Lepisosteus oculatus: one gene and its partner. The protein of the gene in region 2 interacts with the protein of the main gene of each other region in a biochemical or structural test. Links are inferred from orthologs where the notes say so. Each region holds a gene or a part of one and is shown on either strand. Other genes may lie near its edges.

Region 1 (7,662 bases), on a different chromosome or scaffold from region 2:
CTCTTTATCTATTTCTGCTTTCAGTCACAGCTATTAAAAGTACCAGGTTTTAAAGCAGATGAATAATGCTGAATGCATCCCTTAGACTATGTCTTCTATTTGTCTGATGTGCTTAGCTATTGCAATTTTAACCACAGTTTTTTTTTTTAAATTAGTAGTCTTTTTAAAAATTCTTCATAAATCCATTTTAACTTAGTGGACCTACTTGCATTTCTCACAGAGGAGGATGTGAGACATGATTCGTGTACAGAAAAAAAAAATTAAAAAGACATCTTACAAAGGTAATCAATGCTTGCAACTAGAAGATACAAAGGAGGTGATTTCATGATATGTTAGGAAAAAAACACCTTCCTTCATAATCCTTATTTTGCACATTACCAGATATAAAATATTTTTCAAGAAAGATTGAAAAAACATTAAATAAAGGATCTAAATGCTGCATCTACAGTAACAGTAATCTGTCAGAATTATTCTAATTTTTCACAACTTAAATCAATGCTCATTTCATAACACTTATTTAGCAAATGTCCCTTTCACGGCACAGACCCTGTGGTTTTCAGAAATAATACCTAATGGCAAATACAGTATGTGCACATTTGTATGGTGAAAATGACTCTTTTTATAATTGGTTATAAGATGTACATCATGGCATTCCATTATATTTTCTGATGAGATGCAGAAGAAATGTATAATATAGCAAGAAACATATATAAACATGTGGGTATATTTATGTGCTAAGTGCAATATGATATGTACATAAGTTTGGTGTTGTTTAATGTTTCTGTAAAGAGTTGGTTGAGCTGAAGGTAGCCTGGTTCTGTGTGGTATTATTGATGTTTTCTTCATATTGTGTAAAGATTGTGTCAAAGCATTAAAAGATTATTTTTGGTGCATATACAGTACTGTACACAAGTATGAAATTTAAACTATATGGACTTATTTATGTAAACGTATAGAAGCAAAATTAAGTAGATGTATTGCAGAAAACTGAACAGTGTTGAAATGTAGATTGGGAACCCACAATGATTCATTGTGCATGAAATCCATAAAGACAATTACAGCTCCGATGGCACTACTGTCCTGCTGAATTCATTGTAGTGGTCTAGAGAACAGTGAAAACACTTTAGTACTGTAAGTGAATACTCAAACTTATCCTCCCCTTTCTCCTCACATCTCTTTATTTCAAAATTATAGTTTTAGTTATGGCATTTATTTACTTGACCATATTTTACACAATCTCTGATAAATATTAATTAAATATCAATTACATTTAATTTGACAAGTTTAGGAATTCAGATGAATATACTGTAGTAATAGTAATATGTTATTATTCATTATTTTTTACACCAAGCTACTTTTGTAATTAAACAGAGATGATATTATTTTTTGTATTTATTTCTTATTGTGAACATTATGGTTTATGTCTAAATATGGCTCACATCTGCCCTGTTTGAAATGAACTGCAGCTTTAGAGGGTAAAAATGCATCTTTAAAATCTGATTCACAACACAGACATCTGCATTCCTAAGAACACAAGACAGAGTGTGTGTTAAATACAAGTAATCAAATAATATGAAGTTACAGACAGATTCATAATTATTAACAACAACAGTATTTATTATTATTAAATTGTTTAACTTCAGCACTCAAACCCCTTTTCTTTTTTTGTTTTGCCAGCTCAAAATGCCTGTAGTCTTTTGTTTATCTGCAAATTCAGCATGGGGTGTAGCTATAAATTCTTACTAGCAATTAATTTCAGAAGCAAAATTATAGCCCTTAGAAATTAGCTGAACTGTTGGAGATTGTGTTTTTGAATCACAGTGTTTGAATTGCCCAATAGTATATCCTAATGGCAGTTAAGGATGCATGAGAATTCATTTTATGTTTAGGAATTCAAAATAAAGGTAGGAGATGGGACATGTAGGTTATTGCAAAAAGCGAAATATCTTTACTTGTTCCAGGAGGATGGGATTCAAATCCCTTGTAGTATAAAGATAAAATGTAGAGACAATTTCCCATTCGGACACGGTTGTGAGATACAATAGTTAGCAGACTGGTGTAGCTCCTGAATTTTCTGATCAGTAGGGAATAGAAGTCCTCTGAGAAAGCAGCAATATATTCCCTGCTGGTTGTGGAAATTCAGCGGTTGTCTGAGACAAAAAATATCAAGAGAGCACAGAAAATATGTGCAGGAAGGGTTTAATAACAAAGAACGAGGTCTGACTTAGTTTTATTTTGTTAAGGTTTTTTTTCTATGTATAATTCCTATTGTTTTGTTTTAGGAAACAGAGCAAATATGAACCCCTGATAACAGTTACTTGGTTGTGTTAGTCAGAGGTTCTTTGGTTTTAATTCTAATACCAAAAGACAAACTGGCTTGAGTTTGACTTTGTTGTACAGCTTGGGTAAGTTAATTAGCTTCTTCGCTTAAACCTAGAAGCCAGCATTCATTGGCATTAAATTAGTTTTACCAATTTACTGTCTTCCATGTTGTGAATGCCTTAATTAAACTTTACAGTGGACGGTTACATTGCTTTAATTAAGTCGTTTTTTTCCCTTTTTTTACTGCTAACTGGTCCTATTTTGTATTTCAATCAAAAGTCAGTCTAATCTGGAAATTTAACTGAGGCCTTAAAACCCATAGTTTTTTTTTCAACAGATTATGTGGCCACAAAGCTCTGATACAAAAGTTGTTTTTTAGTGCTCATAGCCCCCTACACCACAACTGGTAATTAGCAAGAGTTTATATTTTTTTCTTTCCTTATCAATGTTGATATGTTTGTATTTATTCATGTATATTAAACACGTGCACACTCAGACATACACAAATGATGTTCATCATGCATCATATTTCTCATTCACAATGGTTTGTGTTTGTCAAAGTCTGAAAGGTTTAATCTCTAAGCTTGACACCTTGAACTGATAAGCATTGTCTTAAAAAAGAGAATGTGCTGGTTCTTTAAAGCCCCCCTTTCTTTCTCTCACCCTGTTCCATCTCTCTGTCTTGTCTCTCTCTCTCAGGCACACTCTCTCTCTTTGTCTCTCTCCACCCACTCCACCTGCTCAGTTCCCCTCAGTATGTGCAGGCAGTGCCCTGTCCAGTTCCAATTGGCTAGGAAGCCACCAATCTGGCGTCTGGATGGGCCAGAGGGACTACATATGCAAAGCTTTACTTCATATTAATGAGCTCCAATCGTGGCTTTAAGTCCTTGATTAGAAGAGTGCGAGAGCTTTTGGTCCCAACTGGCTGTGCCTATAGGCTTGTCACCAGGAGAACATTTCTGTTAATTGCACTGCTCTGTCAGGAAAAACTTTGATTTATAGAGGGGGTTTGCTCAAATTATGGTTGCAGAGCGCACATGGATTCGGTAGAACTTTGCCTGCCAGAGTGTTTTTCCCTGCACTCCGAAGAAGAGTAGGTACATTTTGATTTTTATTCTTCTCTTTGGAAATTATGCCTAATGTTTTACCTATAGACAGTTTTGTTTGTCTTAAATTCTTGCTGTTGCATGTGTACTTTTGTTTTCTGTGTTGTGTTGTGAGCTATATCTGTCTGTCTTGTGTTGTTGACTGACAATGTGCTTCCCTGTAGTGTGTACTTACTGCTCAATACATAGCACAGCTACCTGTCAGGCAAAGTACTGAAACAGTAGCATTGCCTTGTACCTCTGGAAGAAAAAGTGAGCACATTCTTTTTACCATTTAAACCTCACAGATTTCTATAAAAGGCAAATATTTTTTCAACTTAATTTATACTCTGTGTTTTATCTGTTATTAATTTTTATTGATACCATGTCCTTGAGATTTTTTAAAAGAGAGAGCACTTAGAAAAAAAGGTATACTCCAATACCATAAAAAGCTTGAATTTCACAGACAAGCTGCTTACAGTGTGGCCTGGTTCAGCTATTAACAGTGCCACATATTTACATTATTGAGAGCTATGGGGTTATGGTGTATGTTGGTGGGGGGCAGGGGGGGGGGGGGGGGGCAGGTGCTGAATCGAGCCTGCATAGTTCATATAGAGAAACTAGGTTTTCCAAAGTAAATGTATTTTGTTTTTGTCAGATTGATACAATTTCAATTTTAATTACTTGTTTGATGCTTATTTTGTGTTTAATGGAAAAAAATCATAAACTTTGCATTTACTTGTATACATTTTTTATCATAGGTGTCAGCCACTTGTAATTGTTTTCATTCAACAGCTGTATTTGCAGCATTAAGTGAATTGAAATAATAATCGCGTTTGTGCTCAAAGAATTGACAAATAAACAACAAACAGCTAATATGGATAAGTCTGACTGACACTGCTGGGTGTGCTTGCAATTGCCTAGATGTTTGCAAACTGTCATGGGTTCATATAAACCTGATATCTTAAAAACACACACTGGAAACATAACATTGGTCTCTCTTTAAGAAAAGAAACACCAAGACTATTAACCCCTGCCCTTAGTTACATTAAAACACCGATAAGACCATAAAAGTATTGTTCCACCCTTAGTCCATTTAGAGATTAGAAAGAAATAAAGTGTGCCGGAACTGCTGTGTTACAGGTATGCTGCCATAAAGTCCTACCAGCTTTATCCCAGTCTTTTAGACAGTTAGATTAAGGCAATTAACATTAGATATTGAGGTGCACTTGAAGCACTTTCAGAACTGTAAAATAAACACTAGCTTTAATGTGTAACTTTCAAAAATGTGATTGTATTCATTACTACATTATTCTAGCTTCTCAGTAGAATAATTGTCCTCTGTCTGACTTCTCATTCTTTAGGTCTTTAGGAATTAAAATGCTACATCTATGGATACACTTAAGATAACACCAGCATTGAAAAATAAATATGCATTTATAGAAAATGCATTGATTAATCTAATAAGTTCTGTTTTCCCATTTTCTTTTTTATTATTAAGCTCTTTTTCTGATTTTACCTTCTTATGGCTAATTTACATGTTTGGTCTTCATAAGCTTCTTGATGTATATGCTTTTATATTGAATTTGTACCTATACCTTTTTTATGATCTAAGATTTAATGTCTTCTCACTACTTCTTATTTTTGAAGTAAATCAATGTATAATAATATAGTAATGTATAATAATTAGTGTTAAGTTCAATAATATATGGATATATTGGGATACATTGATATATGATATATACATTGAATAATAATGTAATTATTGCACTTCTTTCCTGAGATTTGTTTTTTTATGAAACTTTTATTGTTCACCACTTTATTCAGATTAGCACAAACATAAGAATTAACGTAGAATGGGGTTCATATGTGGAAAGCCATCCTGTATTTATGTACAAGTGTAAATTCATTTTTTAAGGTTGAGGTTTTCCATTTCAATAATTATATAAATAATTATGCAGACTTAATTTCTGTAATTTAGAACAAATGTGAGATAACATTAAAATGCACATTTTTGCTAAAATTTTACATTTTGTCACCAAGTTCAAATGATTTCAACAATGATTGCTACATTTACTGTAAAATGTCGATTTATTTTAATATTAATTCTTAGTTTGCAATATTTATGATAAGATTATAATTACTGTTTTTGTTTAAATGCATGGAATATATAGAAACATTAAATCTAAATATAGCCTTTACAAAATTGAATTGCTGTACAAAAAATATATATAACGTATGGTGGAAATAGCAGCAGTGTATTTTAGGGTTGTTATATTACTTTAAAATCATGTAAGTAACATGATAAATCCTTATTAATTGTTTTTTTTTCATATTTTGTAAATTTTCTACAATATTATAAAATTTACCTACAACGTTTATTTCAAACAAAAATATCATTTGAAAGCATAAACATGTGGAGTCTGTCTGTCCAATCCAGAATATACTATTTAATTTAAAAATGCAGTGGAAAGAAAAAAAATAGCTAAATAAAGGTAGAACAAACCTATTCCTCATTGTTATGTTATAATCAATTATATAATCCAAATAGATAGCATCTATGTTTTGTTAGCGTATTGAAACACTTGGTGCTGTTTGAAAAAGATTCATCATTTTCAGCCACACAGATAATTCCCCTCTAATAATTAAACATTATTTCTCGTGTCATGCCTCTGTAGCTAAGGAAAGGTCTTGATAGCCTTTCACTTAAACTTTTCCTGAAAAGAAAGTATGCATTTATTTTTTCCTTTGCTGGAGAGTGAGAATTAGCAAGTAAAGCATAATCGTCTGATTCAGTTCCTTCACTGCTAATAAAATCATTTGTTTAATAATAGTAATACCTCTTAAATTATGTTAAAATTAATCTACCTCATTTATAATGTTAAAATCAGTCTTCTCACACTTGCTGTCTTACGGTGCGTATACCTTAAATACTGTATTTTGACCGATGCATTTCCCCGTTGTAAAATGTCTAGCTCACTGCCTTCATCAGACTGCTGTCTGACTGTTCATTGTCTTTATTGCGTCCTGCTTATTTGAATGTGTGTTGCCACTTCCCCTTATTCCAAGGAGTCTGGAGCATTCCAAGGGTAATTAACCAGAGTTAAAAGCAAAAACCCTTGTGAGTAGCCAGTCATCCTGGTGGTAGGCTGTATTTTTCTCCTTTTGTTTAGGAGGTGCAATAACTACACTCCCCCCAACCGCTTTAAAAAAAATGACCTGGCTGTCAGTGTAAAAGATTTATATTTAATCTATTACCATTGGGTATTCACACATATATCTGATTTTAGGACAACTTTTTAAAAAAACAGTACAAAATAAATTGCCCAGATGAGATGTCTGTGCCATAAATGAAGGAGCACATGCAGTAATTATGCCGTACCATATTGGAGTGGTGACAGAATTGGTACATGTGAAAGGGAGACTTGCTACTGTTTTATTCCTCACCTTTAAGTGAAATAAGATCTGCTTTCACTTTCTAACCTGCACTTCCTCCTCTATTGTTCAGAATTAAAGGAATGTTGTCTGTTTAAGGACAGTTCCTTTGGAATGTCAGAATAGTTAGGAAAACAAGTTGCAAGTAAGGAAAGTACAAATTAGGTTTTTAGTTACTGGAATAATTAGTAAATCACTTCAGTAAATTACATTCATATATATAACTCCAATGCAAGTACAGCTTGTTATACTATTAAGCCTTCTGTAGATACTACTAAGATTTAGTTTAGTTTTTTCTTTATTACATATATAAAAAACAGTGCAATATATAAGTACACTAATTTATTTGAACTGTTATTGGCATATTTTGGGGCTGCTCTCATACATAAAGTGGACTTGGCTTTTCTGGGAGTAATGTAGCACATTTTTCAAAACAAATTGGAGTAAAAGTACCAGATTGTATTCTGAAGCAGCAGTTAAAAGTTCAAATCTGTTTGAATAACAAATTTAGAGGGTAACGTATTTACATTTCAGAAGTCTAAATTCTGCAGCTCTGGATTTGAGTGAGCAGGTTTATTCCATCTAGCATTCGGGGTTTAGCATTGTGCCTAACTTTCACTTGGGGACATGCAGGCAGCCGGCAACAATAAAATGTTGATTTCCTCTGAAGAGATCCCGTGTGAGGGAATGTGTGTTTGTGTGTGCGCCTGTGTGCCAGGGAGTTAAAGCTCTCCAGAGGAAATGTGTGATTACGCGAAGCTAAGTTTGTGCCGTTTTTATCTCTTTTACATCCACTGGCCTTGTATTAAATTGTCATTGT
Region 2 (7,662 bases):
ATTAATATTGCATTTGCGCAATATTAAAGGGCAAATTGAACAGAAAGTGTTCTGTTCAATTTGCCCTTTAATATTGCGCAAATGCAATATTAATGCCCTTTAATATTGGGTTTCCTCGGTCGGACAGAAATGACTAGTGCTAATACGTGCTGCTGTCTGCTCTCCCTCTTTTTAACTGAAGAGGTTTTATTAAAGGGGCGCTATCGAAAAAAAAGATTTAAATCACTTGGAAGGGAATAATCTGGTTATGTAACGCATTTGCAGAAAATCAAAGAGAAGAACATCCGGAATGATGTTCCATTCCGTTCGAATAGCTGACAATATGAAAAACGTGCTTTTAGATAACCGCATGCGATTATAATGATAACAACAACAACTTTTATTTTCTAAGTAGTTCAGGTGGGCAGCTGTGTCAGCATGCGTAGTCTGCAAAGGAACAAGTAATAGGTTTATTCCATGCTGAAAAGAGAAGAGAGAAAACACGTTTCGGCCGTGAAGCCTTCTTCAGATGTAAGACCTCACAGCTGAAGAAAGCTTCACAGCCGAAGCGTCGTTTTCTCTTGTGTTTTATTTTAAAATGCGCCTTTCCAAACCCAAGGGCGCTGTACATTGTGTGTGTGTGGGGGGGGGATACAATACAAAGTTAAAAACAATGAAACAAGATATAGGCTCGAGTGAAAAGGTGAGTTTAAACCAGCAAAATAAGTGTCAAGGACCTAAGTTTGTCTGGAAGAGGCGGTGGAAGAGCACGGTCACCATAAGTCCGAGATTTAGTCCCCGATCCAGTGATCAAAGGACGGGCCTCAGCTGACGATCCTACAGGAGAGCGTGTAAACATGGAGCAGTTCAGAGACATGGGAGGGAGGCGGGTTATTAAGAGCTTTAAGGGTCACTAACCAGATCTTATATTGAATACGTGACTTTACTGGCAACCCCTGTAGAGACTCACGTGTAGGAGTGACGTGCTGCCAGGGTCTGGTGTGGGTTACAAGTCCAGCTGTAGGGTGTTGGACACATTGGAATTGACTGAGGAGAGTGTGAGGGAGCCCATAGAGTAAAGAGCTGCAGAAATCAAGCCTTGGTCTTATAAATGCATGTATGAATCGAGCATTCAGCATCGAGCACTGATAAAAAAAAAACTGCCTATATTACTGTAGCACTGAAGTGTAAATTGGTTTATTGTTATTTGATGACGATTTAAGGGAGAGCAGCGCATATTGAACCGCCGCCCTGTCTGTCCGGGGGAAGGTTACCGTTGTTTACTTGGACTCTCGGATCTTAGCAATGTATCGTTTTTATTGGAGGTAATAAAACCTTGTTTCACTGACGTAGCCCATCATGTATTAATTACGCTGGCCCTGTAACGTATTTTTTTTTTGCTCAGATGGGCCGATGGGCAGTGGCGTCAGCGTGTGTACGCTACAGAGGGAACGAGTCAAACTTAATTCCCCGCATATTTCTAAAAACTCTCTCCCGCACACGCACACACCTGAAGAATTCTCGACAGCCCAAACGCCGCGTTTCGTCTTTCAACTTTTTACTTCTTCCTTTGCTGCCCAGATACACCGCATGACAGATGAATGTTATCTAAGAGATGGAGAAGTCTTTCCCCAGCTCAAATCCCGCTCTACATTCTGTTTTTCTCCCCCAAACCCCCCGCACTTGGAGCTCCGACGGTGACGGCAAGGAATCGCACACAAACGCCCGCCTTACAGAGGGAGGAGAAGGAGCGTACCTGAACCTGCTCCTTAACCTGCGTGTCATTGACCTCTGCTTTACTGCGCGGAACACCGGGGCAGAGGACTTCCTGTCACCAGGCGACAAGCACAAGGAACCGGTATCTACGGGCCCAGCCCCGCGCCTTGCTTGGTTGCGGTGGTATTGCCCAAGAGCCGTCTCTGGCAATGGGCCTCTCCCATCACCCTCAAAGTCAACAGTACAAATCATCATACTCGCCAGAAATAGTCTATACCGCGATATTTCTAAAAAAAATCATCTGTTTTGGTGGCATTGTTGAACCAAAACCTTCCGGATACTGAACGGCGGGGTGTGAAATCGCGTCACCACCCTTGATTTATTCGAAACGACCGTTCACGGCGGAAATTGAATTCCTCGACAGGTAGAGAGAGGTTGTTCAGATAAGTCATCGCATTTTTCTTTCGGGCTCATTCAAATTTCGCTTTAGTCCAGATTTTGTATGGTTCTCCAATCCGACTCTTTTGAATCGGCCGTGTTCACTTTTTTTTTTTTGCCGCTATAAAAAGACAAAGGGGTATCAACACATTTTTATTAAACACGTTTTTCATGACGTGTTACAGAAACTTTTTTTAAAAAATATATAATTTATTCACATACACTCATGCACACGGATTTTTTACGGACGTGTTAAAGGAGTTTTTTAAAAAAAAAAACATAAAATAGTGATTCGGATCAATAAAGTGACGTTTTTCTCCAAGAAGATTCTGTTAAGCCAACAAAACCAGGTTTGCCCTTTCAGCTGAAAGATCTATATCTAAATCATAACATCGAAAGCTTGGCACAGCGTATGAGAGATACGCCAAATTCACACACCGAAATGATCGAGTAGTGAGTCCCCTCTGTAATACAGCCAGGCTGTTCCTCTCAAACGATTTTCTGCGTATCGTCGCCGTTTGAAACTCGCAAGGCGAGAATGTCTCTTTGCTCACTTCGCATGATTTTAGCGGACCTTTTTGCCCAAGTTTTAGACCATAACATGACAGTTTTAATAGCAGGACATGACGTGCGTGTTCCCAGGTAGAGTGCACCAAGCTCTCTGTAACACTGTCCCCTCAAATCAGCGGCTCCGCGACGGGTGTTGTTGAGTTTAAGCAACCTGAGCTCCTGTATCCTCGTTTATCTGGCGAAAAGCATTTCGGCGAGTAGTTCTAAGAGGTCCGCCTGGCCGATGACAGGTCTGAAAAAGAGCTCGGTGATGAGGCTCGGCGTGATGGTCTTGAGCGCGGAGGCGGTGAGGAGGATGCGGGCGAAGCGGCCGCGGTCTCCCGGGTGGAGAGGGAGCAGCACCTCGCGAAGAGCTCTCTGGGCCTCCTGCTGCATGCTCTCGATGAACAGAGACGCTTTCAAGCCCGGGACATCTGAAAAAAATAACCGAATTGAAGGCGTTTTTAAACGTCTACACGCAGTCAGCCTTAATTCGAATTATGGGGTTGCAAAACTGTGCTGGTTAGATACCACCGAGAACGCACTAATCTCTCTCCCGAAGCGGGGGAAAACCAATCAACTCTATTAAGTGTTTCTCCTAACTACTACACGTATGAAACAGAAGGGTTTACATGTGTAGTTTATCCTTTTGCGACCAAGTAATGGCAAATGATGCCAACACCCGTTACGGACGTGTGCTGTAATACCCACAGTGTCAGCAGTTTGAAAATGTGGTACAAACCCCTTCATAACAGACTTTCCCCGCTGGGGGCTGCCTGACGAATTGTGTTCAGGAAACGGTGGCCTTTTTGACAGCTTGGAAACAACGACTTCAAACGCGTTGGTCCGATTCTTGCGAAGTAATTCTGTGCCACTTTACCATACTCATTTTTTATTTCCTATTTTAACTTTCCCCCCTTCAAGAGAAATTAGCTAATTCTGCACTTTATCCCAGTGGACAAGTAATGAATGTGGCTTGTAGACCTAATTAGGTAGAATTTCCTTTTTGGGGGGGGGGAAATGGGACTCTTTTGGGCAGAAGATTTATAGTAGTAAACGAAGGATGAAACTTTGGGCCAATGTCCATCAATGTGTAATTTTCGAAACAGCCTTTTCTTAAGCCATGTCAACAAGCTATTTTGTCCGTTAAAAGACATTAATAAGCAGGACATTCATCCACTCATACATTCCAATTAAAATACTTAGTGTGGATTCCTTACTAACTAATCCATCTACCAACAATTATGTGAGAAAACTATTCGGGAATTGACACTTATTACTTTATTTAACCCGTTGGTACAAGAAGATCAATAAGCACGGTGATAATAATTCGCTAGTATACTTACCGGGGTTAAAAAGAATCGCTCCTTTCAAATAGGCGTATTCTTTTGGACTCATATCCAGGCTCCAGAACTTATTGACGCAAGACTTCAGCTTCTGTACGGCGTCCAGCGTGGGCTGCGCCCTGTCCGAGTGCTCCAGCCGGGTTTGGTCCTGGTCCTGGTCCTTGAGCAGGATTCTCTTCAGCAAACTGGCGGCCGGCGTGTCCGTCACGTCGAAGGCCACCCCTTCCTGCGCCAGCCCCAGGATGAACAGCGGCGCCCAGCCGCTCTGCAGCAGAGCCAGCTGGTCCTTGAGTGGGAGCTGGTAGAAGGAAGGCAGGTTCTTCATGAAGTGGATCGTTTTGACCAGCACGCCGGAAGCTACCTGGCACGTCTCGTCCGGGTTCTTGAGGCCAACAGTCCGCCGCATCTCGCAGTGGCAGCTGTGCGGAGACGTGATGTAGCTGTGGGCGAGGTGGTCGCTGTCCTTGCGGCTCAGAATATTGTAAAGGATGGCGTTGGACTGCCGAACACTGAAGCCGGAACACTGGCATCTGTCGCTGGGCTCTTCGAGGCAAGACATCGTTTACTTAATCTTTTCAACTAAACGAGGCTTAAAAGAATTTGGTACGGTGAACGCGCAGGTAGCCTGTAAATCGCCCTTGCGCGCTGTACCACTTGGCCGCGCAGCTACTTAAATGCTTTGGATCAGAAAAGCTCTGTCCGCCGTGCGTACGCCTGTCTCCAGCTCTGCTGTCCCAGACCTATTTATAGAGGCTTCCCCCTAAGGTACAGCAAGCCAGCCTTGACCCTAGCTGAATAACATTTGCTCACTGAAAAACAACATGACCCTGGACTGCTTGGCTCAGGTAGGTTCGCTCCACGTGGAGAAGATAAGGTTTTCTCAATGAAGATCGGCGGGTTGATGGTACAAGGCGACGTTGGGGTGGTTGGGAGTAGGTCACTTATCTTATTTACTTCAGCCATTAACCCAGCCTGTACCAAGCTACCAAGGACTGTGGGAGTAATCAAGCAGACAGTATATGGCCACTATCGCTGCCAGCTAACACCTAATGAGCTGGAAGCCAGCCAGTACAAACAGTTAAGATATTATGCATGTAAAGAGCTGTCTGATGCGTCCTTGAGTAGTATATCGCCTCTCGCAGATGCGAAATTATTCATTTCAAACCCTTTTCGGCAACCTTAAAAGGTGCTGAATACGAACTTAAAACTGGAACTGTTTTCCTCCGAGTATAAAATACGGAGCGATAGAGATTTTGGTTTCAAGAATAGGAGACGTCACATCCATTGACTTCAACCCAAGGGGATAGGTAGACGTTTTGAAGAGCTACAATGCATAAGTGATACTGTTGAAAATGCAAGATATTCGTGATGTACAGAAAAATCAATAGGAAAAAGAATCACCCTGAAATGGATAGATGGATTACTTCTGAAAGCTTAACAACATGTAAGAAATTTATAAGGATTTATAATTGTATAATAGAACACCAAACGACGTGTTTTGTAGGAAAAACAGGAAATTCTGAAGTGAAAATTCTAAATATAGTTTGTTATGAGAATAATTATATTAGGTTAATAATAATGCTATACTATATAATATTCGGTACTGACAACTCCCCCGTTTTAATCTGATAAAATACATTATTTTTATTCATCTTGTTAAATTTAAAATAAGCTTGTACCTCCATCCCTGTTCAATGCAAGTCATTCTGTGAACAGCATATATCAACACATTCAGTACAATATATGTGTGAAATAAACTGTTCAGAACCTTGGTATAGGCAGTCCAGTATACAAACCACAAAGGGCATTGATTACTAATAGACTTGTATTTTGCAGATATTATATCTGGGTCAGGAATAGACACTGAACTGAAGGTCATTTGTATTTTTCAACTGCTTAACTAATCAGCAGAAATTAAGGTTGCGTCATCATTTCCCTTGACTGAGTCTGAGACCTCACATTTTCTTTTTTGACACTCATAAATGGTGAATTATTCTGTTTCAACTAGTCCAAGCAATTTGTTTTTCTAAAAACTCGTACCTTTATACACTAAGGAGTTTTAAGGAGTGTTGTATTAATAATCACACTTGACTGGTGTGATGTACTAACCAGCGGAGCGTCTTTTTCAAAATGAAAGAGAAGTACAGCACAATTCTTACATAGCAGTTGAATTTTAGATTTTCCTTGGTGTGAAACGTCTTGGTGAATGGGTTTCACTTGAAAGAACCACTGTTAGATTTTTGTTCAGAGAAACGGGCTTATTGTAAGATGTACTGTAAGGTTACTAGATTACAGCCAGATTACTTGTTTCTAATTGAAGAACTAAGACAGCACGTTCAGATGATTTTTCTTGTCTGAAAAACATGGCACATTGGCCTGCTTACTATTTTCTCTTAGTGTGGGATCTTTCTTTCTTTTTGTATATTCTTTTTCTTTTGTATTTTAAAAATGAAAACTCCATTAAAAAAACTGCATCAAGGTTGAGTGTGAAGCAGTTATTGAAGTAGTTCAGGTGGGCAGCTGCGTCACCATGCGTAGGCTGCAAAGGAACAAGTGATAGGTTTATTCCACGCTGAAAAGAGAAGAAAGAAAACACAACGTTGCAACTGTGGAGCCTCACTTGGGTGTGACACTCGAAGAAGGCTCCACAGCCGAAACGTTGTGTTTTCTTTCTTCTCTTTTCAGCATAGTTATTAATGCAATTACATTATGCACATTTTGGGCATAAAATCATTGCTGTCTTCGGAACGTTTTAGGAGGTTCAGTTGGTGAAGAGTGAGACCAACAGAAATAAAGAATTATTCTCTTGTCCCCTCCCTTGGTTTTCCAACAATGCTGCACCTGTGGATTAACGCACAACTCCTGGCGCCAATTCTCCTGCTGGGCACTCCTGACTGAATGCCATTCATAATCAGATTACCATTTCCTGATGGTATAGTCAATAAAAGTGAGCTAATGCAAACAGCCATCATCCCAGAAGGAAGGCTCTGAATCAGAGACAAAGCAGTAAAGTATCCCTTTTTTAATCTCAGTCGTGCCTAGCACAGAGCTCTTCTCCTGATAAGGCAATTGATTTATTGGGGAGGAACAAAACTCAGGAATTGCAGCAACATAGTGGCCTTTCACCAGTGTTCCATTCCATCTGGGAAAATGCAGATATGTTGTTCTGAAAACCAAAACATTTAAAAAAGGATATTTAAATTCACTTGCTAACATTCGTGTACATTGATTTTACTGTAATTACTTTGTTCTCTGTATCCTGATGTTGTCCAACTACAGCACATTAAATACAGCACATTTTTTAATACAGCATATTAAAAAAAACACAAGAACTCATTACCACGGTCATTGTTTCTTAGAGTCACTTTTTACTTTTGGGGAACAAAAATACATTTATTTTTCTGACATTGGTCACACGCAATGATATTATTTTTAGGAGCATTAACTAACTCTCCAATACTACAGCTATTAATATGTACAGTATATCTGGTGAAGATTTCATTCCAACCTTAACCAGCATATCTTTCTTTTACCAAGACAGAATAAACTAACATGTCATCAAGAAAAAACACCTGTACATTTACAGTAGAATATGAAGTGGGCAACTACAGAATGCATCACAGTAGCTTACCAT

What was found.
Region 1: the proteins of nuclear receptor subfamily 0 group B member 2 (region 2) and esrrga form a complex in vitro, tested with the Homo sapiens proteins (2 studies listed by BioGRID). The link is inferred for Lepisosteus oculatus from reciprocal best matches to the Homo sapiens genes NR0B2 and ESRRG.

What each region holds. Positions count from the first base shown.
Region 1 is NC_090697.1:62,010,615-62,018,276, reverse strand, and holds the start of esrrga (estrogen-related receptor gamma a), read left to right. Parts: upstream 1-3,200; 5' UTR 3,201-3,359; coding exon 3,360-3,415; exon of another isoform or gene 3,416-3,419; intron 3,420-7,662. UniProt on the Homo sapiens protein: Orphan receptor that acts as a transcription activator in the absence of bound ligand. Binds specifically to an estrogen response element and activates reporter genes controlled by estrogen response elements.
Region 2 is NC_090706.1:7,321,869-7,329,530, reverse strand, and holds nuclear receptor subfamily 0 group B member 2, read right to left. Parts: upstream 5,078-7,662; 5' UTR 4,588-5,077; coding exon 4,029-4,587; intron 3,117-4,028; coding exon 2,875-3,116; 3' UTR 2,404-2,874; downstream 1-2,403. UniProt on the Homo sapiens protein: Transcriptional regulator that acts as a negative regulator of receptor-dependent signaling pathways. Specifically inhibits transactivation of the nuclear receptor with which it interacts.